Linked DNA regions of Rhinolophus ferrumequinum. The protein of the gene in region 1 purifies or fractionates together with the protein of each later gene. This does not show direct contact. Links are inferred from orthologs where the notes say so. Each region holds a gene or a part of one and is shown on either strand. Other genes may lie near its edges.

The links.
Region 2: the proteins of PTPDC1 (region 1) and PPP2R1B purify together in Homo sapiens (affinity purification with mass spectrometry; 3 studies listed by BioGRID and IntAct, counting the BioPlex papers as one, with this or other methods). This does not show direct contact. The link is inferred for Rhinolophus ferrumequinum from reciprocal best matches to the Homo sapiens genes PTPDC1 and PPP2R1B.
Region 3: the proteins of PTPDC1 (region 1) and PPP2R2D purify together in Homo sapiens (affinity purification with mass spectrometry; 5 studies listed by BioGRID and IntAct, counting the BioPlex papers as one, with this or other methods). This does not show direct contact. The link is inferred for Rhinolophus ferrumequinum from reciprocal best matches to the Homo sapiens genes PTPDC1 and PPP2R2D.
Region 4: the proteins of PTPDC1 (region 1) and PPP2R2A purify together in Homo sapiens (affinity purification with mass spectrometry; 4 studies listed by BioGRID and IntAct, counting the BioPlex papers as one, with this or other methods). This does not show direct contact. The link is inferred for Rhinolophus ferrumequinum from reciprocal best matches to the Homo sapiens genes PTPDC1 and PPP2R2A.

Annotation. Positions count from the first base shown.
Region 1 is NC_046295.1:6,097,871-6,105,547, reverse strand, and holds the start of PTPDC1 (protein tyrosine phosphatase domain-containing protein 1), read left to right. Parts: upstream 1-4,663; 5' UTR 4,664-4,727; coding exon 4,728-4,941; intron 4,942-5,423; coding exon 5,424-5,595; intron 5,596-7,656; coding exon 7,657-7,677. UniProt on the Homo sapiens protein: May play roles in cilia formation and/or maintenance.
Region 2 is NC_046294.1:80,154,960-80,162,559, forward strand, and holds the start of PPP2R1B (serine/threonine-protein phosphatase 2A 65 kDa regulatory subunit A beta isoform), read right to left. Parts: upstream 3,005-7,600; 5' UTR 2,975-3,004; coding exon 2,861-2,974; intron 2,520-2,860; exon of another isoform or gene 2,383-2,519; coding exon of another isoform or gene 2,308-2,382; intron 2,051-2,307; coding exon 1,960-2,050; intron 1,559-1,959; coding exon 1,458-1,558; intron 1-1,457. UniProt on the Homo sapiens protein: The PR65 subunit of protein phosphatase 2A serves as a scaffolding molecule to coordinate the assembly of the catalytic subunit and a variable regulatory B subunit.
Region 3 is NC_046299.1:1,054,383-1,061,725, forward strand, and holds the start of PPP2R2D (serine/threonine-protein phosphatase 2A 55 kDa regulatory subunit B delta isoform), read right to left. Parts: upstream 2,880-7,343; coding exon 2,873-2,879; coding exon of another isoform or gene 2,790-2,872; coding exon 2,697-2,789; coding exon of another isoform or gene 2,565-2,696; intron 482-2,564; coding exon of another isoform or gene 439-481; intron 1-438. Other genes in the region: transcription initiation factor TFIID subunit 4, read left to right, coding at 439-481, 2,565-3,546. UniProt on the Homo sapiens protein: Substrate-recognition subunit of protein phosphatase 2A (PP2A) that plays a key role in cell cycle by controlling mitosis entry and exit. Involved in chromosome clustering during late mitosis by mediating dephosphorylation of MKI67.
Region 4 is NC_046301.1:41,060,602-41,067,792, forward strand, and holds the start of PPP2R2A (serine/threonine-protein phosphatase 2A 55 kDa regulatory subunit B alpha isoform), read right to left. Parts: upstream 3,004-7,191; 5' UTR 2,703-3,003; coding exon 2,696-2,702; intron 872-2,695; coding exon 797-871; intron 1-796. UniProt on the Homo sapiens protein: Substrate-recognition subunit of protein phosphatase 2A (PP2A) that plays a key role in cell cycle by controlling mitosis entry and exit. Involved in chromosome clustering during late mitosis by mediating dephosphorylation of MKI67.

The DNA.
Region 1 (7,677 bases):
GCGTCTGCACCAGAGAGTGGGTCGGGCTGAAGTGCTGTAGGCCTGACAGGGTGAGGTAGATCCATGGGACGGGCACCTAGCAGTCATAGGAACATTGAGATAACTGGTGAAGCTTGAGTGAGGTCTGTGGGATAAAGGGCAATAGTAATGTATCAATCATAATTTTCTGATTTGGCAGAATTGTAGAGAACATCTTTGTTTATGGGAAATACACACCAAGTAAGTTATTTGGAGTGTTGATGTAAGAAGCGCCCAAACCTGTAGAGAAGTTTATTTGAGCCAATCTGACGACAATTGCCGGGCAGCAAAAACTCAATGTGTTAAGAAAATGCTCCAGAAAATGGCAGTTTCACAGCTTATTTTATACATTACAATCAAAGGAGGAGACATGAGGAGGGTTACATGAAATCCATTTGCGGTACATTAGTGGGTGGTAGAAAGCAAAGCAGGGAAATCTCTGGGATTGAATAAAAAATAAAATGGAGAGACACATACTTCTTTTATATTGGTGGGTACAGAATAGTTAACAATGAACATTTATAGCACATAGAGATGGTATTCGGAAACAGGATAACAATGAGGGGTTCTGTAGTCTAGTGCTCTGGTGCGGTGGGTTGTGCCCCCTGGGGGATCCAGAAAAAGGGATTACTCTGACATTCCAAGGATATGTTATCTTAGATGCAAAAAGACGATAGACAGCCTCACTTAAGGTAAAGATTGACCTTTGTCAAGGACACTACAGGCCAAGGACATGACTACCGGCCATGTCCTGCTTTCAGTTAGGAATTTATATGTTCAGACCATCCTGTGTGGTTAACTTCGGTGTCTGAGTTTGTAGGGCCTGCTGTGCTGGCCTCCTCTGAGATTGTCAGGGTTTGTATGTGGCCCCTTTTTCGTGCACAGGAGTTATGGGGCAGCTGCTTGCCATGTATTCTCAAATGGTTCAAGGGAAAATATTCTTTGTGTTACAACTTTTCTGTAAGTTTGAGATTGCTTCAAAATAAAAAATAAAATAAAATCCTCTCCAAAAAGTTTTTAAAATTAAAGCTAAGTTATTCAATTGTGTTGCATACTGCTATGCAGCCAAATAAGACAGTTCACCTTGAAACAGACCATCGGAAACCTTAGCAAGAGCACTTTCCAGTGGACAGTGAAGGCAGACACCAGAGTTAAATAGAGGTTGAGGATGAGACAGATGGTAAATGGAAATGACAGATGCAGTCAGCTTTTTTAGGAGTTTAGCTGTGAAGGCGGAGGAAGGGCCCTTAAAAGAAGGGGAATCATAGTTAAGGGTCTGGAAACAATGATGTATACTAGTGATGTTTGAAAAATTAAGAGTTAGCCTAAACAGGGTTTGGGAAGTCTTGGAGAAGTTCTGTCTTCAGATATTTGAAAACCTCGCAAGTCAAATAGGTGCTGCTTATTATTATTTTTTTTTTTTTGGAGGGATGAACTAAAACCAGTGTTTACAGAGAAATGGATTTTGGCTCAACATTAGAAAAATCTCTTGATCTGTCCAGCAGTTGAATAGTTGCCTTGTGAGCAGTGAGCCTCCTGTCACAAAAAGTGGACAGTGAGAGGCTGGGAAGTCGGTGTTACAGCCTGGTTCCTGGATGTGACGCCTGTATTGATTTAGGACTGAGACTGGATGGATCTGTGCTCCCACTGCATCCTTAGGCCTATTGTTGCCTGAATGTTTAAGTAGGAGTTCTTAGCCCTTTGTGAGAGCTTGAGTATAACAGGAAATTACCAATTCTTGGGTTCCACATCTGCTTGGGCTCTGTAGTGCTTTAACCACCGATGTGTAGACATTAAAGAGGAAAGGCCAAGGGCCCACGGGAACCTTTAAGTGGGTTTCTTTGTTGTTTCTTGTGCTTATCACAAGTGTAGATAATTTCATATTTGCAGTGACCAGTATGTCTTTTGGTTCCTTAAATATCACTCTAGATGGGTCTGAGTAAAAACGTGGGTGAGTGTGATTGCCCACCTGCAAACAGGCCAGTGACCGCAAAGGCATTGAGTGGAGAATGGAGTGGGAAGTGTTCGTCATGCTGGGAGAGGGGCCGTTTGTGTACTGCAGATTGCAGCAGCCTGGGGGAGTATAGGACTGCTTCCGGGGATTATCCTTTGTATTGTTTTCCTACTGGTTCTTAGAGCCGGACTTTTTTTTAAAACAGTATACTTGGAAGTGAACTGGGTAAGAACAGTATTGTCAGGGTCCCCTATGATTTTATATTCATGGAATATAGGAAACTGACATTTTTTTCTTATGTACTTAGAAAAATAAAAAATATGTTGTCAGAGGAGGAAAAAAAATTGATCGGTTGTTAGCAGGTAAGTGGGAAAACCACAGTAGTGTTAGTTCTGGTGGCTTACAAATAAATAATGGTGCAGGAAGGAGGAAAGGAGAGCAGAGAGGTAAACGCAGCTTAGGACAATGAGCTTCTACAGAAGCTCTCTTGGCCACCAGGGAAAACGGCTCTGTACTTTTCAAGTAGGATTTCCAGGCGGGACTTCCCGCCCGTTCTCAGGAATTTTTTTTACTTTCCCTTTCCCGAATCCCGAGATATAAACTGTCGTCTGTTCCCCACAATGAGTTGTTTCCACACAGTGACAGCCGATACTACCAACCACCTGCCGCTTTTCCCGACCAACTTTTCTCAGGGTTCGGGAACGGGAAAGCGAAAAAAATTCCTGAGAACGGGCGGGAATTCCGCCTGGAAACCCTACTTTCAAGTGTCTATTGAAAGCATGGTCCTTCATAAAAGTACTCTTAAAAATTTCCATTCTGTGTAAAATATGAAATAGAAACCAAAATAGTCATGCTGCCTGTTTAAAGATAAGGCTTTTATTTTTTCCTATTGGTAATTTAAATAATTAAAATGTTATTTCTAAGAGTCTGAACAATTTATCATTAGCAAGTCTCACCCTAATCACATTTGTTTTCCTTCTCAGAACGTTGGTTGAGAGCGTAGTCACTTGGACTCTCCTCTGTAAATGTCCTTAGAGTGGCAGACCACAGGCATCTCGCACGTACTGGCCGACACCTCCTAGCTGCCATCTCACATGGCTTGTGTCTTAGATGGACTTGCCTGCTCATTTTCTCACGCACCTTCTCCTCATGGGCTCCCATGTTAACCAGCTTCATTGTGTCTCTACTGCTCATTTAGGTGGGAGGTACTGGGACTGTCTCCAGCCCATCCTCCAGGTGCCATCTGTCCGCCCCTGTACTGTCTCGCACCCATGCTTTGCTCCCTCACTCAGTCACTGTCCCAGTGGGTCCCTAGTCCTAGTCCTGGGCTTTCAGCCCTGTCTCTGCAGGGCAGTGTTAACCTCAGCATGGAGATTTGCTCAGAAGCTGGCTCTGACTCCTGTTCCCCAGATGCAGATGCTTATTGAGCTCTTAGGGCCTTCTGCCAAGTTTCCAACTTGCTTTCCACGCTGCACCTACTATTTCTTCTCCCTTAAAGCTCTGAAAGCTGTGCTTTCTGGATTAGATACATTTTTTAAATTATTGTCTATTGTTACATACAAAATAACAGGGGCATGGTCCTACACTGAGTCGGGATTCTGACACCAAATTGCCTTACTTGACAAAGTTCATCCTATTGGGAGGTAGGGGGTGCATTTTAAAAGGTGTTTGCTTAAAGCATTAAGTGTCTATATTAAGTATCTATCGCAGTAGATTGTTTCCGTCTGCACAGGCTGAAATACCATTTGGAGATAGAGACATAGAGACAGAGACAGACAGAGAGACGGGGGTGGGGGTGGTGCAGCCTGACATGAACCAGGGAGGAGGCGGACAATCGGTGGTTGTTAGAATTTCTGTTTTCTTTATATCCTTTATCCTCAAGTTACAACCTCCCCCTCATAAAATTCCTTAAGAAAAAGAAAAAAGTGATACTTAGGGGTTTTTTATATGCCTCTGGCAAGACATTATCTAGCTTCTTTTCCCTGAGTCACCAACAAAAGGCACTCAATTGTGTTTTTGAGAGGCCTGGCTACTGTAACGATCCAGTAAAGGCATAACCAAGAATTGGGTTTTCACATTCTGAAAATAAAAATGTAAAAGCAAATATCTTTTGATTAACATATCAGCTCTACAGATAGCTTTATTTGTTCTGTCCAAGAATTTAATAGTTCTATCAAGAAAACAAAGATTATGTTTTTGAAAAATGGAATGATGTTTCAATAGCGTTGTAAGGTATCCAGCAGGTCCCACTTCATTACGATTAACTTTCTGTCCACCCTGTTCCACAGAGGAGTAGAAAGAGAATTTTTTTCAACACGTTTAGAGAATAGATAAGAAAAGAATAAAAGAATTTAAACCTTTTAACATGCATGTAAAAGGCAGTGTTTGCATCATAAAGACATTTTTCTAAATCCATTATTGTATTTTAGATGTAATTCTTCGAGTAGTCAGAACTTTTAAATGTGTTTGAGAAACAAAATAGAGTAGTTGCAATTTAGGAATAATTTATTTAAAATACATGTTATTCCTCCGCACATTTGAACAATCTGTCCAATGCAGTCCATGTGGGACTTTGCTTGTACAGTTCTGAGTGGGAATCAGTAGTGTCTTTGTGCGTTGCTTTGGAAACAAATCAGCCTATCCTGAATGCTGTTAGATCATGTAGAGTGATGCTCACATCGCAGTGCAACTTCATCACAGAGCAAGCTGGCGCTGCCATCTCCTCGCCCAGCTCTCCTCCTGGGAGCCCAGCACCATGCAGGACCCACCCCGGAGGCTTTTGGCCGTGCCCTTCCTCAGCAACTTCTTCCAGGGCCGTCGGCACTCGGCCTCAGACCCCATCCTGCGGCTGCCGCCTGGGCAGTGTGGCTCTGCCACCAAGATGCTCTCCTCATCCTCTTTCCAGGTGATGGTGGCGGTGTCCTCTGTCAGCTGTGCCAAGAGAAACCCACCTTGCCCCGAGAGAAAAAGTAAAGCTCCTTTTCTTCTTAAAGATTGCCATACCTTTGAGTTTAAATTTAAGGGATGTGAAGAGGCTGTGCTGTGTTTATACCTTTTTAAATTTTGACAATTCTTCATTATACTTTTTACTGTCTGTTACACTAAGAGTTTTGGTAGATATGTAATAGGAGATAAAATGATTGAATGTTTTGTGCTTGTTCATTGAAAATATAGTTTTTGAACAAACCTCATTTCCTTATAAAAGATCTGCTTTTGCTGTTCTTCCTCTTTGTGACCAGTATGACATGTGGAGGTTGTGTATGAAAGTCTTTTCCATGTTAAGAGATAATGCACTTACATGCAGGGAAAATGGTTTTAATCATGGCAAAATGAAGAGGAGTTAGCACTGGCTCCTCATCTGCAATCCTGAGATAAAATGCAAGCTGTTTCTCAGGTCACTGTTCCATATGCAGAATGGAATTTTGAATCTTCCCTTTATTATATGTTCTAGGAAATACAGGACGTCCAACAGCAAAATATACAAAAGTTGGAGAGCGTTTGCGGCATGTCATTCCTGGACATATGGCCTGCTCCATGGCGTGTGGGGGCAGAGCGTGCAAGTATGAAAATCCAGCCCGCTGGAGTGAGCAGGAGCAGGCCATTAAGGGGGTCTACTCGTCCTGGTGAGTAACTCTGCCGGGCTTTGGTAGCTCTCCCCTGCAGCTAGATAGGACAAGGGAGTGAAGATGTACGTGGTGCCGGGACACAGCGGGCTACAGGAGAGGGACAATGGGGTTTGAAGTCACGACCTCACCTTCCGTGTCTGGCCTGGCCACCTGACGAGCCGTGGCCCACTCACACAGGTGCTCTGAACCTCCATTTTCTCATGTGGGAAATGGAAATAATAAAACCAACCCCATCGCGTCTTTTCTTAATTAAATGAAATGATGTATGTAAATATCTTAAAGAAATGGTAACTTGTGCTCTTAAATTTCAGAAATTGCTAGAAATAATAAAAATGTGGAGCTATAAATTTGAGGAAATTCTGAGGTATATATGTAGTTTTCAGTTTCATACATGTAAGTGTTGCCTATTTTTTATTTTGTTCCCATATTCTGTATGAAAGGACCCATTTTCACACAAATATACTTCCAGTCTGCCTCAGTAGGAGTGGTACAATTGTCGGTTCAGTGGACAATATAAGATGCTTGCATTATTTATGGTGTGTAAGTGCATTCATTATTGAATCATACTGCTTTTCATTAATAGTAAACTGTCAAATATATCTTTTTTAATGTAGTGATATCTGAAAAGTTCTGCTAATCAAACCAAATCCCATTTGAAACATACTTAGAAGAATTCACTGTTTAAAGAATTCTAATGGTGAATCATTTTATACAGCAAGAATCCATTTACAAATTAGATATTTGTCAATCAGCTTTTCTAACTTGCAACCTGTACTTTTTCATATTGGATATGCTGGGCACATGAGTAGTGATATAATCAGGGGTCCACTGTCACTGTTCTCCACAGATCATATTCTAATCCATCACTGTCTTTCTTAAAGAATGTTGTAAAAAAGCAAATATGATTCCTAAGGTGTGGTCAGACAAGTACATTGCTAATAATGTATGTAGCTTAAGGCCACAGTAATATTTTTGATTTATAGCTAACTAAACCATCTGAGTCTTTTTCATCTCTGCTGCTTTCATGTTACATCTCTCCTCATCTCATACTAAGTACTATTAAATTGGGGATTGTCCCAAACCTTTAGGGGACCTTGTTGAATTTCAGGCATTACTCCAGGGGGAGGAGTATCTTTTTGGATCCTGCTCTGTTCATTTAATGTCACTGTTACTCCTCTCAGGTTCGTGTGACCCACAACGTCCGATAGACTGCCTGATGTGTCTTTTACCAGAATACTGATGAGAAATTCGACCAGAATGGAGTGAAGCCAGAGTCCTAATGTGGGACAGCCATTTGTTGGGCCTCTGTCCATTCACAAACTCAGTAAACATTCATTTGTCCACAGGCCAGGCACTGTGCTAGACCTTTTCAGTTATTATCTCATCTTCATAAACTCTTGTGAAGTGGGCATTGGTAATGTTATTTTATTGATGAAGGAATTGAGGTCCAGACAAACGAAGTAATATGCCACACAGCTAGAAAGTAGAAAAGGCAGCATTTGAATCCAGGCTCAACTGACTCCAAAGCTCTTATTTTTGCTAAATTGCAGTAACTGAGCATTTATTCATAACCATGTGTGAGGATTTTTGCTACACACTTTATATTCATGTCGTATTGAATTCTCACACTAACCCTGTGAGGCAGGTGTTATTCTCCCTATTTAATGCATAGGTAGCTGAGCTGCAGATGGCTACCAATCGGCCCTCCTCATTTGGTTAATAACCTTTGGATCTCTATCACAGACTGTCACCTTTGCTGCCAACTGAGGTTTCTCCATTGTGTCCACTACAATCTCATGGGAGTCCTTGAAAATGCTTTGTAGCGGTTCATAAATACTGGAATTTGCCCTGGAATTTTTTCCAGGGATTTAATCAGCTAGGATTTCTTAGAGCCCTAATCATAATGCAAAATCAAAGCCTGATTTGTATAAGGAGATTCTTATGTTACAGAGTTGTTGAAATCATAGAAAAAGTAGGGGCTTGATATCGTGCTCTCTCAGTCCTTAGAGCTGGAATGTCCTAGGTTTTGTGCATCTAATCAGACCCTTCCATCTGCAGGGTCACAGATAACATCCTGGC
Region 2 (7,600 bases), on another chromosome or scaffold:
TGATATCTGAATGACAGGGAGCCAATCCAGGAAGCTCAAAAGAACATTTTATTAGAGGGAATACCTAGGTCAACAGTCTTAAGGCAATAATAAGCTTGGTTGATTCAAAAAACAGAAAGAAGACCATTGTGAATGGAATGAGGTGATCAAAAGGGAATATGGTATGAGATAAGCTCACAGAGGCAGGTTTGTAAGCAAAGGGACAAGCTAAGGTAGGAATTTGGATTTTCTATGAGCCATGGCAGGGAGTGATCCCTGCGAAGTGAAGAGTGAACTGGGGTGGGGGGGAGGGGGGTAGGAGACAAGAGTGGCAGGCAACTAGTTAGGAAGTTACCGCAGTAATCTAGAGGAACAACGAGCTAAGTGATAGGCGGGATGGAGGAAAGTGGACTGATTTAAAATATAGAGAGAAGCTATATAAGTTACTAATGGACTAGATGCGGAAAATGAGGGAAAGAAGATTCAAGAATGTCTTCTAGGTTTTGGCTTGTGTAACTGGGTAGATGGTGATACTATTTACCAAGACGGGACAACTACATGAGAGGCATATTTTTGGGGAGAAAACTGAGTTCTATTTTATGCATGTTAAATTTGAAATGCCTGTTTGACATCTATGTAGAAAAATCAAAGGCAGATATAGAAAGAGACAAACAGATATTTGTATCATCTTTCTATATCTATATGTGGAGTTCCATGGAAAGGTTTGAATAGAAACAGAAATCATGAGAGTCAGCATCATACAGACAGTATTTAAGCCTTTAAGCATACATCCTTATCTGTCCAACTGTGGAATTCCTAGTCGCCCTTCAAAACCTAGTTCAGACGTCATCGCCCAAGAGGTTTTCCCTGATCACCCCAGGTTAATCCCTTTCTCCTCTCTATTACTTGGGTACCTTGTACGGACTTCTATTTTTCCACCTAATACTTTATAGTAATTATTTGTTGACACATAAGAACAGAGACCTCATTCCATTCACAATGGTCTGCTTTAGTATCAACATTATAACTTCAGGGTCTGATACAACAGGCTCTCGATAATTGTCAACTAAATTGAACTGAACTCATCAAATTCACAAAGTAAGTCAGAAATAAAAATTATGCTTACAATCAAAGACAAAAAACTAATAAACATTTTCAAAGTCATGACATTACTAGATAAGAATTAATATTTCCAATTTCAGGGGGGAAAATACCATAAACAAAAACAATCAAATCTTTTTTCTCCCAATCTCTAAACTAACAAGTCTACAGAGGCAGACAAGAAAAGAGGAAGATCTCATATTTGTAGTCAGAAAAAATAAGGGTTAATTGAGTCCAAAGTTATTCTCTCCACAGCTAGCACTAGGACTATCCATAAAAAGATCTGCATTAAAAAATACTGCAGTGTGCCTATCACAAAACAATGTATCATTTATACTGCAAAAATTCTAGAAGGAAGGTAGGCAGAATGTACTCACCAGCAAACAGTGGGCAAAGTCAGGACCTCCCACCAGGCCAGTGAAATTTCCCAGCTGCTCAGCAAGGGCTAACAGTACTTCATCTTCATCATAAATTGTATCTGGAAATGACAACAACCCAGTACTCATCAACAAGGATAGCTGGCCCAGAGCTGGACACTCACACAAAACTAGGAATAGATTCAATATGTAACCAGATGGTCCGGTCACTATCCTAACAGCATTTTCTTCCTTCTCAATCAAGAGTCTTCCTGGATCTGTTTTACACAATGAATTAGAAATTCATAATCCCATTATCAATTACTTTCCTATTAGCTAAATAGTTCATATTTGAATACGTCTGACCACATTACAATATGCTCCATCCTGTTCCTTTTGCACAGAAAGTATCACACTCAGTTTAGTGCTTAACACTGTGGGTAATAAATTCTAAAAAACAAAGTTTTAAAAACCACTGGAAAACAGTAATGCCCATGCCTGTCTTTAAACAAGATTCACATACCTGTAAGGAATGGCAGCAGTTCAGTTCTTGTCCTTTCTACTCCAAGTGCTAGAGCAATTGTTGATAACTTCTGAATACTGTTGAGACGGAGCTTTAAAAAAGGAAGTGGAAAGAACAAAGAAACAGTTGTGATTTAGACCAAAGAAAAAAGTTGCAAACAGGTGAGATAATGACATGATAAAAAGTAGGAAAACCTTTAATTTAGATTTTATTCTATGAGAATCCTCTGGAGCAGTGTAACATGGCTTCGTTGGCCAAAGGAAGATTTCTTAGTAGAAACATTCTGAAGGGCCCATTAGAGAAATGAATGAAAGAGAATACAATATCCAGGAAGTGAGGCAATCTTACAAAGAGAACTTTGGCAGCGGTGAAGCAGGTAAAACGGTTGACTGCAACTCCTGCCTTTTCAAAGAAGAGTTCCATTAGAGCTGATACAGGGGCTCTTCTAGGTTAATTAGCTATCCCTCTCTTTCTACCCAACCAGCCTGGCCAGTCTCCAAGGCGAGAGGATGGCATTCATCCACCGGCACTTAAAAGGGCCCCTTGGCATCCCTGTAGCTTGCTCCAGCCACCTCGCCGCCCGCTCATCAACAAGGACTACCCGCCCAGCTCAGGACTCCCACCGCACGACCAGATAGGGGTGCTTTGGCGGGAAGCCGGTTCTCCCACAACCGCCGACGCCCCAGAGGGTCGGGAGGAGGAATACTGGAGAAGTCCAAGGGACGGCCGGATCGAGCCCCTCACGGATCTTTCCCACCCTCCGCCTCAAGTTTCTGCTCAGAGGCCAGCTCTTTCATCTTTCAATCCCCGAGCCTCCCCCACTTGGGCGCCGGCCTCCCATTCTCTAACACACGCTCTGCCCCGCCCGGCCCGCCTCCGCTCTCCGGCCCGATTCCAGTACCTGCACGTCCTCGTTGCGGAGCTCATCAATTAAAACCGCGATCGGGTATAGCGAATCGTCTCCATCTCCGCCCGCTGCCCCGGGGCCGGTGCCGGGCCCCGCCGCGCCCGCCATGTTCTTTCTCCTCTGCCGGGTCACCGCCACCCGCCCCGCGTCCAGGCCCCGCCCCGCGTCCAGGCCCCGCCCCGCGCTCAGGCCCCGCCCCGCGCTCAGGCCCCGCCCCGCGCTCAGGCCCCCGCCCCGCGCTCAGGCCCCCGCCCCGCGCTCAGGCCCCCGCCCCGCGCTCAGGCCCCCGCCCCGCGCTCAGGCCCCCGCCCCGCGCTCAGGCCCCCGCCCCGCGCCCAGGCAGGCGGAGCTGAGCCCCGCGCTCCGGCTCCGCTGAAGTTGGAAAACCGAGTCTCTCTCCGTTTGGTGGAGACCTACTCCCAGCCCCCCCTGCGAAAACTGTAGTTCTGAACTCCAGAAGGAGAGTGGGCTGGGAAAGCAAATGAAGTCCCCGCGTCGTTTACCCAGACGAAAGAAACAGGGGCAGGGACTCATCCTACTCGTGGTGGTCGGGAAGGGTCAGGGACCTACGTACCTGAATGATCTGTGCTGTGACCTCTTTAGGACTCGGGCGAACCAAAGAGGATGCCCAAGGCCAGGAGGAAAAATCGATTTTTCGCCTCCCCTAACTTCATTCTGGCCCAGAGCCACTGGATCTCCAGCCCTCATTTACCCACTAGCCTCAAGCTTCCACAAAACCCCTCCACCACTTCCTTCTGCCTTTGCGCCAGAACTGTGTATCTGGCTCCTGCTCCGTAAGACAAATAACGCGGGCGGTGAGAGAAAATGAACAGTGTTATCCAAACTCCCCAGTCAATATTTTTTCTGCTTTCTGCATGCAAGCTGTTAAAAACATGCTGCTCTCTTGTTTTTGTGTTTCTTTTCAGTTTGGGACTGGAATGGTGCCTTCTGTTGTATTTTTTTCCTCCCATTTTTTAGGTCTTTAGCGTGCTAAAAGTACAACAAGCAAAAGTAGGACAAGCTTGAATACTTCCAATTTGGGTGGAGTGGCTAATCCAAGAGTCCTCAAAGGCAGCAATGGGAGGAGGTGAGGGTATGGAATTCTTTCTTACAAAACAATGGAAAGTTTTTATTTACCCTTGTTTGGGCAGCACAGATTAACTAGAATATCCTGCCTTTTCTGTTTGTTTTGGAATATAAGCAGCTTAGAGTAATAACTATATATGGCGATCACAAGCTCTGAAATGGTAATTCTGTGTGTCTGATTAATAAAAACGTAAAATTATTAATAAATGCAATTTAGGAAACTTTTTTTAAACACCTTGTACCTGGAAGTAAACGCAATAGATAGGGCATTTGATATTAATAGTTGTGAAAGTGGGAACCAATGGACCTGAACAGTATTTCTCAAATTAGGTCTGTGGATATATTCTCTGGGGTTTTAATCTTGTTTTCATCTTGATGATATTTTTTAGATTTGCATAGACATATTCTGTATTATTTGAATGACCACTTTATATCCTGGTGTTGCCACACGATTTGAACACCTACATTTGCATGTGTGTTTCAGTGCTGCTTTTATTGTTCTGGGATAATGAGAAAAGAACAGAAGTAAATTTATAATGAAAATAGTGTTTTCATGAACAAAATGAAATGACATCAGGGGACTGCACTGATGTTCACTGATGTCACAGTAGTTCTAACAGAAATGTACTGCAAAAAAAGAGATATTGTAGGTCATTTGGTGGCACAGTGAACTCAAAAGAAGCTGAGCTCTCATGGGCAATACCATAGTCACAATACAAGGGCTAATTTGATCTCAGCAAAACACATCATTTGTCATGTTAAATTACTATAATAGTAATATGAATTGTATCAGTTTTTTGGTTTCATTTTTATTTCATTTGTAAATCTATTTTGGTGTTTTAATTGTATAAGAACTATAAATAAAAGAACATTAATTTCTACTTTGTATTTGTAAATTTAAGTAACATTGTGATAAAAATAACTTTAAGTTGACTGAGTTTTTAAGACTTTTTGTCTTTAGAAATGGATTCAGATACTACTCAAGTTTGAGAGACAGGGCTTTTTGATTTAGTACTTTACCAGTTACAAGATCAGAGAGGGTTCCTATTGGCATGGAGAACAGAAATCTGTTCCCTTATACTTGTAAAAAGTCTTCAGAAATGATTAAGGAAGCAAGCGCAGAGAGAAGCACATTAAATCAGTTCCACACATATCATCATCTAGACGTTAGCTCTAGCTTAGCCAAGCCTCGATATGCTAAACAAAAATTAGCACAGTGATTGATGTTAAACAATTTTGTTTAAAACTCAAATATTCTTTGCTTACCCAAGCACAATGAATTGGACACCTATGGAATAACTATGATTAAGTATGAAATCACAAGCTGAGAAAATAGGCCCCAGAAAATTGACTGGTTTTAGAGGCATCAATTCTGGACTTCAGTTCCCACCTCTGTCTCTGACTCATTGTGACCTACTTCTCCCTGTGCCCCAATCCCACCTCCCACGCCCTCACCCCCAGTAAAATGGAGCTCACCACCTCTGGATCCCTCTCTAGTTACTGTGACAATACGAGAATGAAACAGGTAGTAAACATGGAGATGCTAATAAATCCTTTCATAAAGAAAGTGATTCAAACAAACAGATTGCAGCAGAAAGAGGCTATTTCAAAAGCTGGGCCAAATGGAAACTGGAACAAGACAGTCTTTGGGGAGTGTGGTCCACTGACTATCTGAATCACCTAAGATGCTTGTGTAAAAATGCAGATTCCTGGCCCCCATCCCAGACCTAGTGAATCAGATTTACTGAGAATGGGTTGAGACATTTTACCATGGACCCCTGGTGATTCTAATGTACACTGATGTTCAAAGGTCATTGATTTAAAAAGCTCGTCTGCAAAAATAATTTCCATGTCAACAAAAAAGCACCTACTCAGGTAGAGTCTGAAAAGAATCTTTGGAGACCACTTCTATCCAGCAAAAGCAAATGACAGGCATAACTGCTTATCAATAAGCAATTCTGTCCCTATTGGCTGTGGTTTTTGCCAGAGTAAAATGATCCCTCCTTTGCTAGATAATCAGCTAAGCACTACAATTACTGTGGCACTGAGCTGTTTCCATATCCTCCTTCCCTCCTCTCCCCTCCTCTCTACTGCTCCCTGTAGTCTCCTGTCCACGTCCCACACACACCACAAGAAATTAATGACCAAGGAGCGCCAGAGGCAACAGCTGAGATTAGGTTGTGGATGTAAGGCAACCCTCGGGAAAAAATACGACATTCTCAGCACAAAAACACTGACTTCTGACACCCACGTACAGCTCCCTCACTCAGTGAATCAAGGGAAGTCAGGGTTAGACTTGCCCAGTTTCTGTCAGGTGCAGCACAGGCAGATGGGATCAATAGCCATCAACTCTTGTGCTTGTAACCACTCTCAGTGCCATAACAGAAAAGGGTCAGTCCTGAGCAAGTCTGAATGACATCATTGTGCTCTCCGGTCTCTTGCCTCACATTTACTAAGCTCGCCTCTTTCTCACTATGCATGAGAGAAAACAGTATGTAGGTGATTATCGCAGGGTAGACTCAGAAGTGTCATCCCATTGAAAAGGCCATCAAGGCAGTGGTGGGTCATCCAGTTCATGCACAGAAAATCTGAGACACATGCTGGCATTTCCCAACTATCTTCATTTAGCAAGACAACCCTGGTAAACTGATTCTCAGGTTTGAATTGAATTCATTAAAAAGTAGTGATTATCACCATAGCATTAATGATATTTTACATTTCTATTTACACAAAGAATGTCTCCATTCCATGGGACTCAAATATTCTCTCTTCAACTTCACTTCAATATCTTCGTTTCTTTCTCGTCTCTACTTTGTGACCAAATTTTAATCCCATTTTTATACTGGGAATACTTGACAAAGAGAAAGAGACTTTACCTGGAGTTACACAATAAATCAGAAGAAGCTATGAACTCATAATCAGGAATTATTACTACTCTTTGCTTCATCCTCTATGTCCATGCCACAGTTTATCATTATATATAAGAAAAGTATTGGATTTCCAGAGCAAAACTTTCCTTGAATTCTCGGAGCAAATCGAAGAAATGGGACAGTCAGTTCTGATGCAGGGCAGCATATACAATGGTTAAGAGAATATACCCTGGAGTCAGGAAGACCTAGATTGACACATCAGCTCTACCAATGACAAGTTGTGTGACTTTGAGCAAATAACCTTCTGAATCTTGGTTTCTGCATCCATACATCGGGGGTTTTAAAGCATACTTTATGGACATGGTAAGATTAAATCATTCATATATAATGCTTAGATTAGTGCCTGACAAGAGTAAGCCCTCAAATATGTGCCATTAATAGTTATTATCTACCGAGGAAGTAGAAACAGGTAAGAAAACATTCCAGTGAATTGAGCTTTGGCAACAAAGAGAACCAGTGTGAAAGGATGAAAAGAGAATGTGATTTAGAGTTAGAAGACCCAACTGCAAGCCTTCCAGAAGATTTTTTTCATCGGTAAAATAGGGGCAAATCTTACCTTACTTCTCTCTCGGGGTTGTTGTGATTAATAAGATCCATAAGGTAAAGTTCTTTGCAAACAGAAAGCACTATGCAAATATTAGAAGTTATGTTATTGATTACCAAGGGCTCACTGAATTTGATGCCCAACCCAAACACCAAACAGAAAACCTCTGGAGAT
Region 3 (7,343 bases), on another chromosome or scaffold:
TGTGTGAGGATGGGACCGACAGACAAGGTAGCTGGGAGCAGCTCTGGAACATAACACTCAACACTGTGAGCTGTCACCACCTCTGGGCTGGGACCTCCACAAGGGGCGGGGGGTTGAGGGACCCGCCTTCAAGCCTGAGGTGCTCACACTGTTGAAGACAGACAAGCGAGGGTTATAGTATCGTGTGGCGTCTGCTAACAACATTCACCCAGGGCACTGCCCAAGGAAAGGGAGCGGGCTGGGTAATGGTGACATCACACGTGAAAAATCTGCACATTTAACAACTTCCAAAAAGTGATCACCGTTCAGAGCACAGGTTTTTGGAGGCACCACCTACCAAACAACTTCTCACTTCCACTGGAAGCGTCCCTGGGTGTTACGATTCTCACTCGCTCCCCTAGGCAAAAAAGCTCACCTAATGCACCTTCGGGGCCACCTATGGCCATAGCCAGCTTGCTGTATGGGAAGGAGAGTGAGGCATGTGAGCAGTGACTGTTACTCATGCATCGTGTCATCAGGACAATCACTCATTTCCTTCTGAGCCCAGCTCTGCACCTACTCGCAGGGAGATGGGAAAGCCCTGATGGTACCATGGCTGGTCTGACCCACGAGCAAAACCCTGTTCTTAAGAAGAAGAGAAACGGGCATCAAAGTTTACACAATACAACACTTTCTTCAGGAGTTGGGATTCAAGTGTCCCAACATGATTAGCTTTAAAAACCAAAGGAAATCAAAAACCTCCCTCCATTGTGCCCTCTCCTCATCCTTCAAAGTCAGGGGAGCCCACACCTCCTGAGACTCACTAGGTGCTGTCCTTACGTCACTGGAGGACCCCAGCTGATCATCTCAGCACTTTCTGATCACCCAAGGCAGGGTAAGCACACGGTCCAAGCTTACGGTGGGACTCCTCATGTAGAGCTCAGACCAGAACAAAACCTTCAAGAACACAATGCCTGACAAGCCTCCAATCTTAGCAAATAAACTTCCGGTCCAAACTTCCCTGAAATTACCCATCTCCTGTCATCGCTTCCCAACATTTCTTCATCAGGGTGTCTGGGCACAACCAGCTTCTTGACCATCTTCACTCTCGTTGCGTAACAATCACTAGCTGCTAACAATGACGTTTTCCTTTATCATCGACTTCTATTGGAACAACGCGATTCAAACGAACACAATTTGACAGAACAACATGACAAAGGATGAAGAGTTATAAATGTGTTACTCTGATGGATTACAGAGGCCAGATCATACATGGATTAAGACACAAGCCTCTGAGTACACACAACAATCAAAAACATGGGGGCTGTCACCACAAAACAAATCTCACAAAAAGATAACCTGAAATACCAAGCTTTTAGATGTATTCAAAATTCTACTAAAACTGCAAAAAAAATTCCTATCAGTTTTAATTCAGAGGACAAAACAGTTGTCAAGATTTTTTAAAGGACAGCCTATTTTCAAAGTGCAACACCCCACTTAAAATATGTCATTTTAGTTGCATTTAAATTTTAATTTATTCGGCTTGTAACTTCTTTAAAAAAAAGGGAAAGAAACCAGAAATTAAGGTAGACCTCAAGCCCTCTCCCCTCTCTACCCCTAAACAAACAGGTTTTGCTACTCTTGATAGAAATTTTGTGTAAACTGAACTGTCATTCACTTGGCATATATAAAATGAAAATATAAATAACTACATAAATAACTATAGAAGGAGCAGGATCAAATTACTCAGAGTATATAAAATCACCTAGTTTCACTCTCAAACATGCGTCGTCACAAATTTCTTGGAGCGCCCAGTTTACTTGCTTTACTAATGGGGCGCTGTCCTCGGGGCCAAGAATCTCCAGAAGTCACACTGCGGGTGAGCGTGAGCGGTGAAGGGCAAGGATGCAGAAGGTCATGGGAGGGGCCAAGGAGGAGGAAAGGGGACACGACACAGAGGGACCCGAGGCTGTCCGTTACTTGGGGGCAAAAAAGGTGCATTTGGTGTAAAGACAATGAATTTTATAAGAAGGTTACGGGTTCACAATGTTCGGGAAGATGGTTGAGCAACGAGAAGTCACGATGTGGCCGGAAGTAAACTTCTGGGTTTCTAAGAATCAGGGCTACCCGCGACCGTGTGTGCGGGAAAGAAGTGCGCTGCTTTACTTTAGGACAGGCAGCTTCCTGCCCACCACCCTAAATCCCGTGTACCTTGGCTCGTTTAGGGGCACGATTAAGGAAAGAACAACCGACTTCAAGTAACAGCGTAAGGTTCAAGAGTAAAACCTGCAGGAGGAACTTGAAAGAATTGATAATAAAATCCCAATCCTCTTTTTCAAGTCGAGGGAACCGAGGCCAATCAGCTTGCCCAAGACCCACAGGTGACTAGAGCGCCTGGGTGGGGACCTGAGGCCTCCCCGCTGCAGTTATCCCGATTTTGTTTCTCGAGGCCCGTTTCTGCAGCGATTTCCACAGTTCTGCCACACGCAGGAGGCAGCCACCTGCAGCGGAAAAGACCCAGAACCCAGCACCCCGTCCGAAAACCCCAGCTCCCAGCAGGCTCTGTGACCTTGGGCTCCTTCCAGACAGAGCCCGCGCTGGGCAGGCCCGCGGTCTCGGACCCGGACCCGGGCAGTTCCCCGGAGCGGCCACGAGACCAGGGTCCCCGAGGGCCGCGGGCGGGTGCGGGCAGGGGGCGCGGACGCGCGCGGCCTTACCTTCGGCCACGTCCTCGTCGATGGCCCCCTTGACCTGCGAGAAGCACCACTGCAAGTCATTGGCGCCCGCGGGGCAGCCGCCGCCTCCGGCTCCTGTGGACACACCCGGCGCGTCAGGCCGCGCGGACCCGCCCGTCCCCCTCCTCCGCCCCCGCCCCGCCCCGCGCGGACCCCACCTGCCATGGCCGGCCGCAGGCTGGCGGGCGCCGAGTCGGCGGCGGACGAAGGAGGCTGCCGCCGCGCAGCTGCCGCGCGAGCACCTTAACCCGGCTGCCGCCGCCAGCGCCGGGGAGGGATTTTTTTTCCCCTTTTCAAAATGGCGCCCAATGCCCGTCGCCCTGCTCAATGACGTCATTCCCCTCCGCCTCCGGGCGGGGAGCTCCCCTGCGCTGGGCTGGGTGGGGCGCGCGGCCGCGGGGTCTGCCGGGGGCTGCCGGGAGGCGCCAGTGCGTCTGCGCGGGCCGCCCCGGGCTTTGTCCCAGGCCCGGAACGTGGCGCGGCGGGGTGGCCAGGGTACGTCGCGGCCAGCGGGCGGCTGTGGGCCCGGGGCTGGCGCGCCTCTGAAGACCAGCGGCAGGACCACCGCTATTCGCCCGTCCACCTCGGGGGTCATGGGAGGGCTCGAGGCGGCCCCGCCCGCAGCTAGTGGAGCGCGGCCAATAGGAGCGCGGTCCTTCGACGGAGCAGCCAATGGAGAGCACGCTCTGAGGGGCCGCACCTGGAGCGCGCCGCGTCCGAGCGCGTCGGAGCGCGTCCTCGCACCTGGCGGGGCTGCAAAGCTCTCTCTTCGGTCCCAGTGTGAGCTCCGGGAAGTCTGTGTTCGACTTGGATGGCAGCCAGGAGAGACCAGGTGAGCGAGGAGGGAGGGCGGGCAGATGGGGACGAGGTCCAGGGGCGGAGCCCCGCAGGAGGCTGAAGAGGAGCCACCTGTGAGGTGGGCGCCTGGAGACGCGGGAGCGGGTGGAGCCCGTGAAGCCGGGAGGGGGTGGTCCGCTCTTAACCGCTGCGTGCGGAGCGCCGAGAGGGCCCACTGGTTGTCGCGAGCGGGGTGCCATTTCTGACCCGGAGGAGAGCAGTCCCGGAGTGGACGGTGCAAACCTGCGCTGAGAGCGTTTTAGAGAAAGTGACAGGACAGTTAGAGGCAGTGAGTCACGGCAACCCTTTGTTGTGAGGACGAGCAGAGAAATGGGCCGTAATCTTTTTTTTTTCTTGTTGATTTAGCCGGTCTGCTCCTGAGCTGTTGAAAACGTGAGTCAGACTCTCTTATATGCAATGGCTTTCATGTGTGTTTAAGATAAGTCTTTTGAAGATAATTAGTTTTAGTTTAGACTGTATTCTTTGGTTAATTAGCTACGATTAAATTAAAATTTAAAAACAAAAGTAGCACAAAAGTACCGTGTTTCCCTGAAAATAAGACCTAGCCGGACAATCAGCTTTAATGCGTCTTTTGGAGCAAAAATTAATATAAGACCAGGTCTTATATAAGATTATATACATTATATTATACTATATTACATAAGCCCGGGTCTTATATTAAAATAAGACCGGGTCTTATATTAATTTTTGCTCCAAAAGACGCATTAGAACTAATGGTCCGGATAGGTGTTATTTTGGGAGAAACATGGTAATATATGCCTGAAGACAGTGAGCTGCCTTCCTTTGTATCTTAAAACATACGCTGTTGTTCTTCCCTGAATAACTTAAAAAAATTTTTTTCTTTGATTTATTTAGATTTTGGTAACTAAATACCATTTAAAATACTAAATGTGGATTGTTTCCAAGTTCAGATTTAGTAGCTAGCTCTGAGTTATCACAGATGTACCCTCTTGATAAGGAGTGCCATCTTCCACTCGAACTAAACACACCAGATTTTAGGAAGTTGTTCATATGAGGGGAATCCTGGTCCGCCTTCCTATGGGTTACTCGCCTTGGCCTGGCCGACCCAAGGGAGCAGCCACAGGAAGCCCCAGTGTGTGTCCCACGGGCCATTCATTGGGCCATTCATCCTCATCGTGCGACGCCAGGTGCTGCACACACAGCTGTGTCATAGAGTGCAGTGGCTGCAATTGTGTCTTGGACAATTTTTTTTTTTTTGTAAATTTAAGATTTATTATTATTATTTTTTAGAGCAGCTTTAGATTTACAATAAAATTGAGAAGAAGGTACAGAGATTTCCCACACAGCCCTGCAAAGCCTCCTCCCTTATCAACATCACTCATCAGAATGGTACATATTTTACCAGGGATGAACCCACATGGACATGCCATAATTACCCAAAGTCCATAGTTTATGTTGAGGTTCACTCCTGGTGGTGCACATTCTATGGGTTTGCACAAATGTACACTGACACGTATCCATCATGATAGTGTCACACAGTATTTTCACGGCTTAAAAGGACTTTGTGCTGTGCCACGTCATCCCTGCCTCTCCCCAACCCTGGCAACCACCCATCTTATTATTTCCATGGTTTTACCTTTTCCAGAATGTCTTATAGTTGGCTTTTTTTCATTTGGTCATGGGCATTTAAGATTCCTCTGTATCTTTCCATGTCTTCATAAATAATTTCTTTTTATCACTGAATAATATTCCATTGTCTGTGAAGGTGAGCAGAGTTGGCCACCCCAAAATTTGCCACTTTGGGATGTTGATTATTTGAGGCTGGTTAGTTTTAAGAAACAGCAGACGTGGGAGAAGCTTTGAGAAGCAAGAAGTTCTGCTGAAGGGCATTCATTTGTGAGGGCAGTGTCCATCTGTCCGGCATCTCCATCACTGTGCCCAGCCTGCCTTCACCATCGATGGAGAAGGCGGGGACGCAAGTCTGCACGACAGCCTGACTCTTGTTTCTTGTGCTTTTCCTGACAGCCTGCCATAGCTGACTCTCCACCCCAGCATCTTCTGTCTGTAGCCGAAGGTGGTATTTAAGGTGATGGTTTCTGCCATTTTGGTGACTTACTCAGTGTTCCTGGGTCTCTCCCATGTGTACAGGAGGCAGACATGTTATTAAACGTTAGTTTGTTTCTCTCTGCTAATCTGTCTCGTGTTGATTTGATCATTCGTCCAGCCAGAAGAACCTTGAGGGTACAGGATAATTTTTCCTCCCCAACATCTGGATGCAGCACAGTTTGTTTATGCCTCACCTACTGAAGGACGTCTGGATTCCTTCCGAGTTCTGGTGATTGTGAATGAAGCTTTTCATAACCTGCTGCCGCCTTACTGCTGGAGTTCAACAAGGCATTGAACTTCATTCCATTTTTTCTCTTTGTTCCTGCCAAGAAGGGTTGGCTCCTTGAATTTTTCTTCAGATGATGAAGAAAGGGAAGGAAGGAAGGAAAAAAGAAAGGACTACGTTACATGACATGACTTGACAAAAGGGACTTGGCTGATGTAATTAAGATGACAGACTTTAACTGTGGGGAGATTAGCCGGGATTATCTGTGTGCCCAGCCTAATCTCATGAGCTTTCAGAAAAGCCTAGCACTTTCTCCAGCTGGACTAGAGAGATGCAGAGTGTGTGGGGGGCTTAGCCTGCTGTTGCCGGACAGACCACACGGAAAGCATGAGAAGGGATGCGGCAGCCTTTGGCAGCAAAGACTGTCCTTGGCTGAGCCAGCAAGAAAATGGGGCCTCAGTCCTGAGCGAACTGCAAGGAACTGAATTCAGGCACCAGCCTGGAAGGGCTTGGAAGTAGACTGGTTCCGGGAGCCTCCAGACAGGTGCACAGCCCACCGAGAGGTGCCATTTTCAGCCTGGACAGAGCCAGCGGAGCCCACCTCCGACCTCCAGGGCTGTGAGATGACAGATGTGTGTGGTCCCGAGCCATTAGCTGTGGTAATGTTGAGGGCAGCAAAAGAAAATGGATACAGTGTGTCTGGTGTGAAATAAACAGACTCGTGTCCACTCATTCGTCCAGCTGTTCTTTGCTGTGTGTGAGTCTAGGCACTTAAATCACTCTGATTCACAGTGACATGGCGATGTGGCAGCCGTGTACGAACAGCTGAGTGCCAGCTGCGCCTGTATTTAGGCAGAGGGGCACCTCCTGAGGACTGGCGGGCACAGCTCGAGGGGACATCTGTGCTCTCAGTGTCACGCGTGCTCTCCAAGAGTCTGGACTCCCCAAGCATGCTCCATGATCCTGGTTAATGCTCACGGAGCCCTACACCTTCACGCTGACATCCCATTTTAGGCGAGGAAACTGAGGCTGAGAATAACTCGCCCAAGGCTTCGCAGTCACGCAGACTTACAGCCCATTTAAGCTCAGTTGTAACCTCAAGGCCCAGGTATTAGGAAACAACGGGCAAGGACACCCCCGCGTCCTCCCTGGCATGGCTAAGCCGTGGGGAGAACCCCAGCACTTGCTCTGCCTGAACTATACCTGCCTTGCCAGAAATACACCGTCATCCATGGCCCGTGAGCTGAACCGCTCGTGCCCCTCCCAGGACTGGTCTGCGTGGGGTGGGAGGACGCCTGTGCCAGGCCTCCAGCTGCTGCTGGCTGATTCAGTTTTCCTGCGGTGCCCACTCAAGGAGGGACCTGAGCAATGCTGGAGAAATCGTTCCTGATTTCCCTGCCCAGAGACTTGTCCCTTCTGGACGTTTAGCAGCTGGCTGAGACTTGCTTCATGCCGATTTCTTAGTCCTTCCTTCCCCT
Region 4 (7,191 bases), on another chromosome or scaffold:
TAATATTTCTGAATGATGAAATAATGCAACTACTTTTTGGGAAATAATGCCTCTTTCATCTAAGACCATTTCAGATGAGTGCAAAACCCTAAAGTTTCAAAACTTTAAACTTCTGAAATACACTAATAAACAATTTTGGGGGTAAAATTAAGAATTAAGCACTTCAACTGATTGAATCCAGCTTCTAAAAGCACAAGAATAAGGCAGCCCCTCAGAAGACGTGCAATATATCCATAGCACTGTTTTCTTGCCCACGTAAATCAATCCTTACAAGACAATAAAATGCATCCCTTGAACAAGCATTTCTTCACAGAATATGCCAATCAACACCACAATCTCAAAATAGGCAAGTTCAAAAAAACTAAAAATCTTCCTTCAGAAATAAAAGATGCTGTCAAGATGCTTCTGAGCTAAATGCTGATGCACCTATTTCAGCTTAATTATCTAAAAATTATATACAAACATGAAGATGCATCACCATTTATTTGTGAGTGAAATTTATATAGCAAGGAAACCTTTATCATACAGACCTCAGACTTTTCTTTTCATGGGTTTCATATTTATAATCTACTGTTCCTTTCATTTAATTCAGGAAAAAATAATAAAATGAGGCATAAAGAATGAAGAATTTAAGACTACTTTCCAGAAAGGTTAACTTTTAAAACTGTTCTTCCATTGCTTGGACAATACAAAATGTTCTTCAACTATTAACAGACTCATCTGCGAGGAAAATTTTCAGTAATCAAGATTTTGAACATTCTATACTCAAATTCTGCATTATTAAATGCTTTCTTACCTTCTGCTACATCATCATCTACTGCTCCTTTCACCTGAGAAAAACACCACTGAATATCATTCCCTCCTCCAGCTCCTAGAAAAAAGAAAACATACCAATTAAAACTGAGCTCCGTTCATGTTTACTCCGGTCAACACTGAGATGATATCCATGGTTGGCATGATACTAATAGCCTCATACTGCCCACATACATTACCACCACCCCAGAGCACTAATTTGAAAAAAGGCTAGTCCCCAATAGCTGGTATTGCTTTAGAAAACAAGAGATTCGGGGTATGAAATATTTAAAGGCCATGTACTGGCATTAACACTATACATGTGTTTAAAACATCCTTTTCCCTCAAATACAGTAAAAACCTTACATTCAAGCACGACCTACCAGGAAAAAGCAAATACCAAAAGTTAGAGAGTTTTCCTTTAAAGAGTGTTTTCCTTTAAAAAGCCTGCTTCTAGAAGAGTCAATAAGGTTAAACTACCATAAAACATGGCACGAGGAGAAAACTTCAGGAACATTACTGCCTGCCTGAGGAGCAAGGATTCATAAGAACCTATCACCAAAGAGCACATACAGCAAACACAACACTCACCACCCATTTCTTGCATTTCATTACCAGCAAATCACTAGCTCGAGAGGAAAAGCAGAAATGAATACTGGTGAAGAGACTGTCAAAAGGAAGCTTGTTTTGCCTCCCTTCACCTTATCCCTCAGATTCCAGAGGACCTTGCAGAGAATTAATTTTGCTAATTTGTCATCTTGTGCGAAACAATTTTAATTTCACTTAATTATTCGACAAGGCCAAAGAGCAACTTGTTTATAGCAAACCATAAGTAAACCCAACATGTTAACTTTTCAAAGATTTAATCATCTATCTAAATATTGAAAGAAGCCCGGAAAATTGGTTTAGTCTCTGAATGTTTCTATTTCACTTCTAAGCACTTGAGGAGGAAATGTCCTGCATCGATGGATAAAGAAACTGAATCCAGATCTAGAATTGATTCTACTACATGAAGGATACTCAGCAACAGCAAAATGTACAAAAGTAATCCTCAAAGCAATTATCTTGCTCTTCCTTCACTTCCATTCCTTGCTAAATATTCCAACCTGGTTTTCTCTATGTATCCCCTCTCCATCCCAAGCTTTTACCTAAATCCCTCTACCCATGGCTATTTATATCACTGAACTCCACAACTATTTTAACTAACTCGATTGAATGCCTTTTGGGAAAAGGACATCTGCACAAAAGCTAACATGCAAAACGGAAAGTTGAAATCACATTTTTCATGCAACTTGCTGTATTCAAGACCTTGCACTCTTTGGATGTAAAGGGTAAGAAACGAAAGGGAGATGGTTGGAAACAAAACAAATCAGTCTCAAAAATATACGTACCCACAGTGGGGAAAAATACACATATGTACCGATTGCATTTTAACTTGTAAAGCACTCTTCCTTCTCAGTGCAAAATATATTTGTATAAACACTCAAGAAGGCTTGCAGCAGGGGAAAAAATAGTAATTAAATGAAGGAAGATCCGCCAAAAAGCCCGGGGCGGGGAAGTGGGGGGAGCAGAGGTTACACCAGGCTCCAAAGCTGTGGGGACAAATCTGCACTCGCCCCCACCCCGCCCCACCCACGCCTTTACCCCACAGCTCGCCGGCATACACCCCACCCCCATCCATGCCAAGGTTCCAGCCCTCATTTTAAAAGCCATTTCGGTATCACAGCGACCACTCGCCTCACCAGAACCCTCCCCACCCTCACCCACCCCACTTGACCAATTCCCCGAAATCCAAGGGGCGCCCCGTGGCTCTATGAGAGGCAGAGGCGGTCGCTAGGGGGTGATGGAGGGAGGAGGAAGGAAGCGGTGCCTTGTCACTGGCCGAGGGTGATTTCTCCTTTACCTGCCATGTTGCGCTGCAAATGGTGACCCTGCTGGGTTCCTCGGGGTCTCTGCTTCCTGAACTCACCCCCCTCACCTGGGGATGGGGGGGTAGAGAGGGCGGATGGCGGCGGATGGCACCTGTGGGGGGAGGGGGCGGGGGTCGGGGAAGAAGGAAGGAGGGGCGGGCAGACCAGCCAGCAGGATGGTGGATTTCACTCTTGTGCTTCCCCGCTCTTGCTCTTTCTTTAGCAGCGGCGGCGGCAGCTACGACAGCGACGGCGGCGGCAGCGGCAGGGGCTCCACTTTCAAAATGGCGCCGGCTGGCCTGGCCGGTGACGTCACCGGGGGCGGAGCCGCCGGGCTGGGCCAGAAGGGCGGGGCGGGGCAAGAGCTGGGACGGACAGCAGAGGGGAAGGGGCGGGGGAGCTGCCGGGCAGGCTTCTGGCTCCGCCCCTTCCTCCCCCTCCCGGCTGCTGTGTCCTAGGTGGCTAGCCCGTGCCGCGCCCGGGAACGCACGCTGATGATCTGGTCCCTGTACCGGCTCTCCCCGTCTAAGCCCCGCGGCCCTGCTGCACATCACGGTGTCCCAAGCCTTCGTGACAGTGTCCTTACCCTGGGACGGGCTCAGCTGTCCAGTTCAAGTGCTCACTGAGGGATTCGTGCAGACCTGTGTCTTTTTAGAGAATACCAGTATTGCTACTTAAAATAGTGACCCTGTGGGTTAGCCCTGAGTCCACTGAAGAAAAGGGACAGTGGTGCAAACTCGCTGCTTAGCCAAGGTGAAAGTTCACAGAACTTAAAAGGACGTAGCTGGAATGGTTCCATCTGGGTGACCCGGGAACTGAGGCGAGAGTCCTTGACGACTGAAAGCAGTTAAGAGTGGTTACTAAACAGAACACTGAGTTTGCTAGTAGCAGAATATGGCTGGAAGAGTGGCCCAGTTCTGTCCAGCTAAAAGTGTAGAAACAGTGTTTAAGAGCTGGGCTCTGAAACCTGGCTGCCAAATGCTAAGTCCACACAAGAGATAATGGTAACAATTCTACTTTATAGGATTGTTTCAAAGATTAAATGACTTAATTTGAGTACATAACTGTTAGCTGTGGTTATTATTAAATTTGTATTGAAAGCATCTTCAATAGATTTAAGAGGTATAAGAAAAAAATAAACAGAAAACACTAGTTATCAGTCAAGAGGGCATGTGCACTTCATTGAAAGATGAATTAATGATGCAGTCACAATATACTACTGTACATTTTACATGTCACTTAATCTCCACAGTAATCCCATGAGATAGATATCCAAATTTTGGACATGAAAAACACCTGCAAAGTATTTAGAATTTGACCTTAAGGCTGAAAAGAGTGATAAGGCATTTGGAGACCAAGGGGAAGTTTACAATATTTACCTCCTGTCCATCATTTCCACTTTCTACCTTAGTCTTGCTCTCCAGAAGAGTTCAATTACAAAACAAGATTCAGAATTCTTCCACATGAAACAGCTGCACCACTGTATTATTATTCCTCTGTTTCTACATTAATATTTCTCACTTTACCAATGAACAAATCAAAACTAAAAATCCACCCTGTATCTGTCATCTTTCAGCTACCTGTACAAACAGGTACAACATTTCACTTCTCTGTTTGCTGTATTTACTTCTATTTTGGTTGATTCCATAAATTTATTTCTCAGCATGTGCCTTTACTATTCATTTTCCTTTTCACTAGTGAGAGCTCTCCACCTTAACCAGAACTCAGAGGGAGCGAGGGAGGGAGGGAGGGAGGGAGAAACAGAGAGAGAGAGAGAGAGAGAGAGAGAGAGAGAGAGATTGAGAGAGAGAGAGAGAGAGAGAGAGAACACAGACCGTTCAACTGAAAACTAGCACCCCTATATGCAAATCATTTTTCTTTTTTATGCTTCAATTTTTGCCACGTGTAAGATTTGAATCTTCACACATCCTGAAAAATGATTTGGTCTATATAAATGATGTGTTCTTCTTAGAAGACAAGAAAGCTTGCCTAGAAACTGCGGTAATGATAACAAAAGTTCATACAGCACTGACAATGTCCTGGACGCTGTTCTAAGAGCATTGTATACAGTCTAGAGGGCACTCCATGTCATGAGATGAGCTAAGGGGGGTGTAATATCGAAGGTCTGTGCATCCTGGCGCCCAGGTACACGCAACCTGGCACGTTTTGACCCTGAACAGTCATATCAGTGGAGCACAAGCCGCCTCCCTTTCTTCTGAATGGCTCTTAAGAAGAGAGGCCAGAATACCCACCAGCATAAAGGCAAGGGTTGCTCTAGTCTAGCCCCCCTTCCTTATCTTGCATTCTAGCCTCCATCCTCTGTACTAGGGCTTCTGTCCCTACCACTTCACTGAAATGGTTTCTGTCAAGGTCTTCGATGATCTTCATGTTACCAAATCCAGCAGTCACTTCTTTGGTTTTGTTAGCTTCCCAAAAGCATTTGAAATGACTAATTCACGCCATCCTTACTGAGACCATTTTTCCTTGACACGCGATTTGTTTCCTTCCAACCTTTCTAGCCACCCCTTTCAGTTTTCTTTGCTGACTCCTTCTCCCAGACTATCCTCTAAATGTTAGGGTGATCTGTCTCCCTGGCCTCTGTCCTGGGTCCCCTTCTCTGATCACACACTCTTTTGGGCAACCTCTTATAGTATTTCCATATATTTACAGATGTAAATACCATGAATTTACTAGTGGCTGCCAAATCTAGATCTCTAGCTCTATCCTTACCCCAAAATTGCAGATACACACACACACCTCTACCTGCCTACTTGACATTTTTACAAATGTCCAATAAGTTTGTTTGAACAAGCACTGCCAGAACACAAGTCTCGATTCTGTGTTCCCTCCATTTGGGTTGATGCTTTTTCTCTGCCTGGAAAATCACTATCCAGTTACCACTCCGCTCCAACATTCCCACATGCCTATCCCTCTTTCCTTCCTCAGCCAGTAAAAGGTTCTTTAAAAAACAATTCGGATGTAACTTCCTCCAGGAAAGCTTTGCTCATTTCCACCCCCATTCCTTACTCACCTTAAAATGGGCTGGGTGCCCTTCCTAAATAGTCTCATACAATCTGATGCACTTCTCTCTTACTAGATTATGTTTAAATTATTTAAATATGTGTCTGTTATTAGACTGAATTCTTTGAGAGTAGGAAATATTCTTATTCATCCCTGTATCACCAGCCACATAATTTTTTGGATTAATGGATGAATGAATAAATCTCTGGCTTGGGAAGAAAACCAGTGGAATATTGGCTTCTTAAAGCTTGCCATATCATAAATGTTTTCACTCACCCTTCTTATGCCTAGAAGAAGGAGGCGTTTTGCAAATTATCTAGGTTATCCTGATGTACATTTGTTAGGCAATAGTTGGTTAAAGATGTAAGTTGCTTATAGATAGATTCATCCCAACTACTTGCATCCAACTGGTCCTTTATCCCTGAATACATATTATCCAAGGAAATTCCATGGGACACCATTCCCTCATCCACATTCTACCATGAGAGCATTTTTTCAAGGGAGCCCCTAGTCAGCCCTTCAACACCTGACCACTTGTGAGATGAACAAATAGCTCCCTGCAGAACTGAGTTCAGCTTAGACACACAAGAGGAAACTCGCTGTGGGTTTTCCCTGTGAAGTCCTGCAGAGCCTATAAGTCCTGCAGCTGTTCTACTTACAAGCTGAGCTGAGAGGTACCAAGAACACCCACAATCCTGCCAGCAGAATGGAGCTAACGGACTCACCCGTGGGTTGTTTGCAAGACAGCTTTTTAAAGTGTATTATACAATGAGAGGAGAATTACTTGCAAGTTGTTCTTTTCCTTGGAGTTAAGACGAACACAAACCCTCTTCTACACTAAATGAGAAGTGGCACTCTTTAGATGCTTCTTTCCTCTAGACAAGTTAGAACTAGGGGTGTCTAAGAAAGACCGTGAACTCCAGGGTAAAAGGAGAAGTTCCTAATTAGAAAACGATAGTTTAAAATATTGGTAAACCCACCACAGCCATGCTTTCTGATATGGAGCAGATTCAAGGGCTTTACAGGGGAAAATTTCAAGTATATTTTTATATACTTCCTTCATATCTACAAATTTGGCCTGAAGTCAGCTTCCCAAAACTCTGTAAAATCTAGACTATAATGACAATTCACACAACAACATTCAAGGTGTAGAACTCATCAAATCACCAAAAATCCTACATTAGCAGGTGTTTAAGAAAAACGACAGTGAATCCACCAGGTGGATTATTACTTAGTCAAACTTTTGTAAAAACAGAGGAAATTGCTTGTGCTTCAGGAGCAGGATACAAAAATGCAGATGCAATATGATCACAAGTACGTACAAAAAACAAACAGAATATATGTAGAACCGAAAAAGACAGGAAGGAAATGTACCAAGGTGTTCCCAGAAATGTCCCTGAGCAGCGGCACAATGGCTAATTTTTTCTCCTTTGACATTTGAGCTTCTCCAAATATTCTATAATCAACG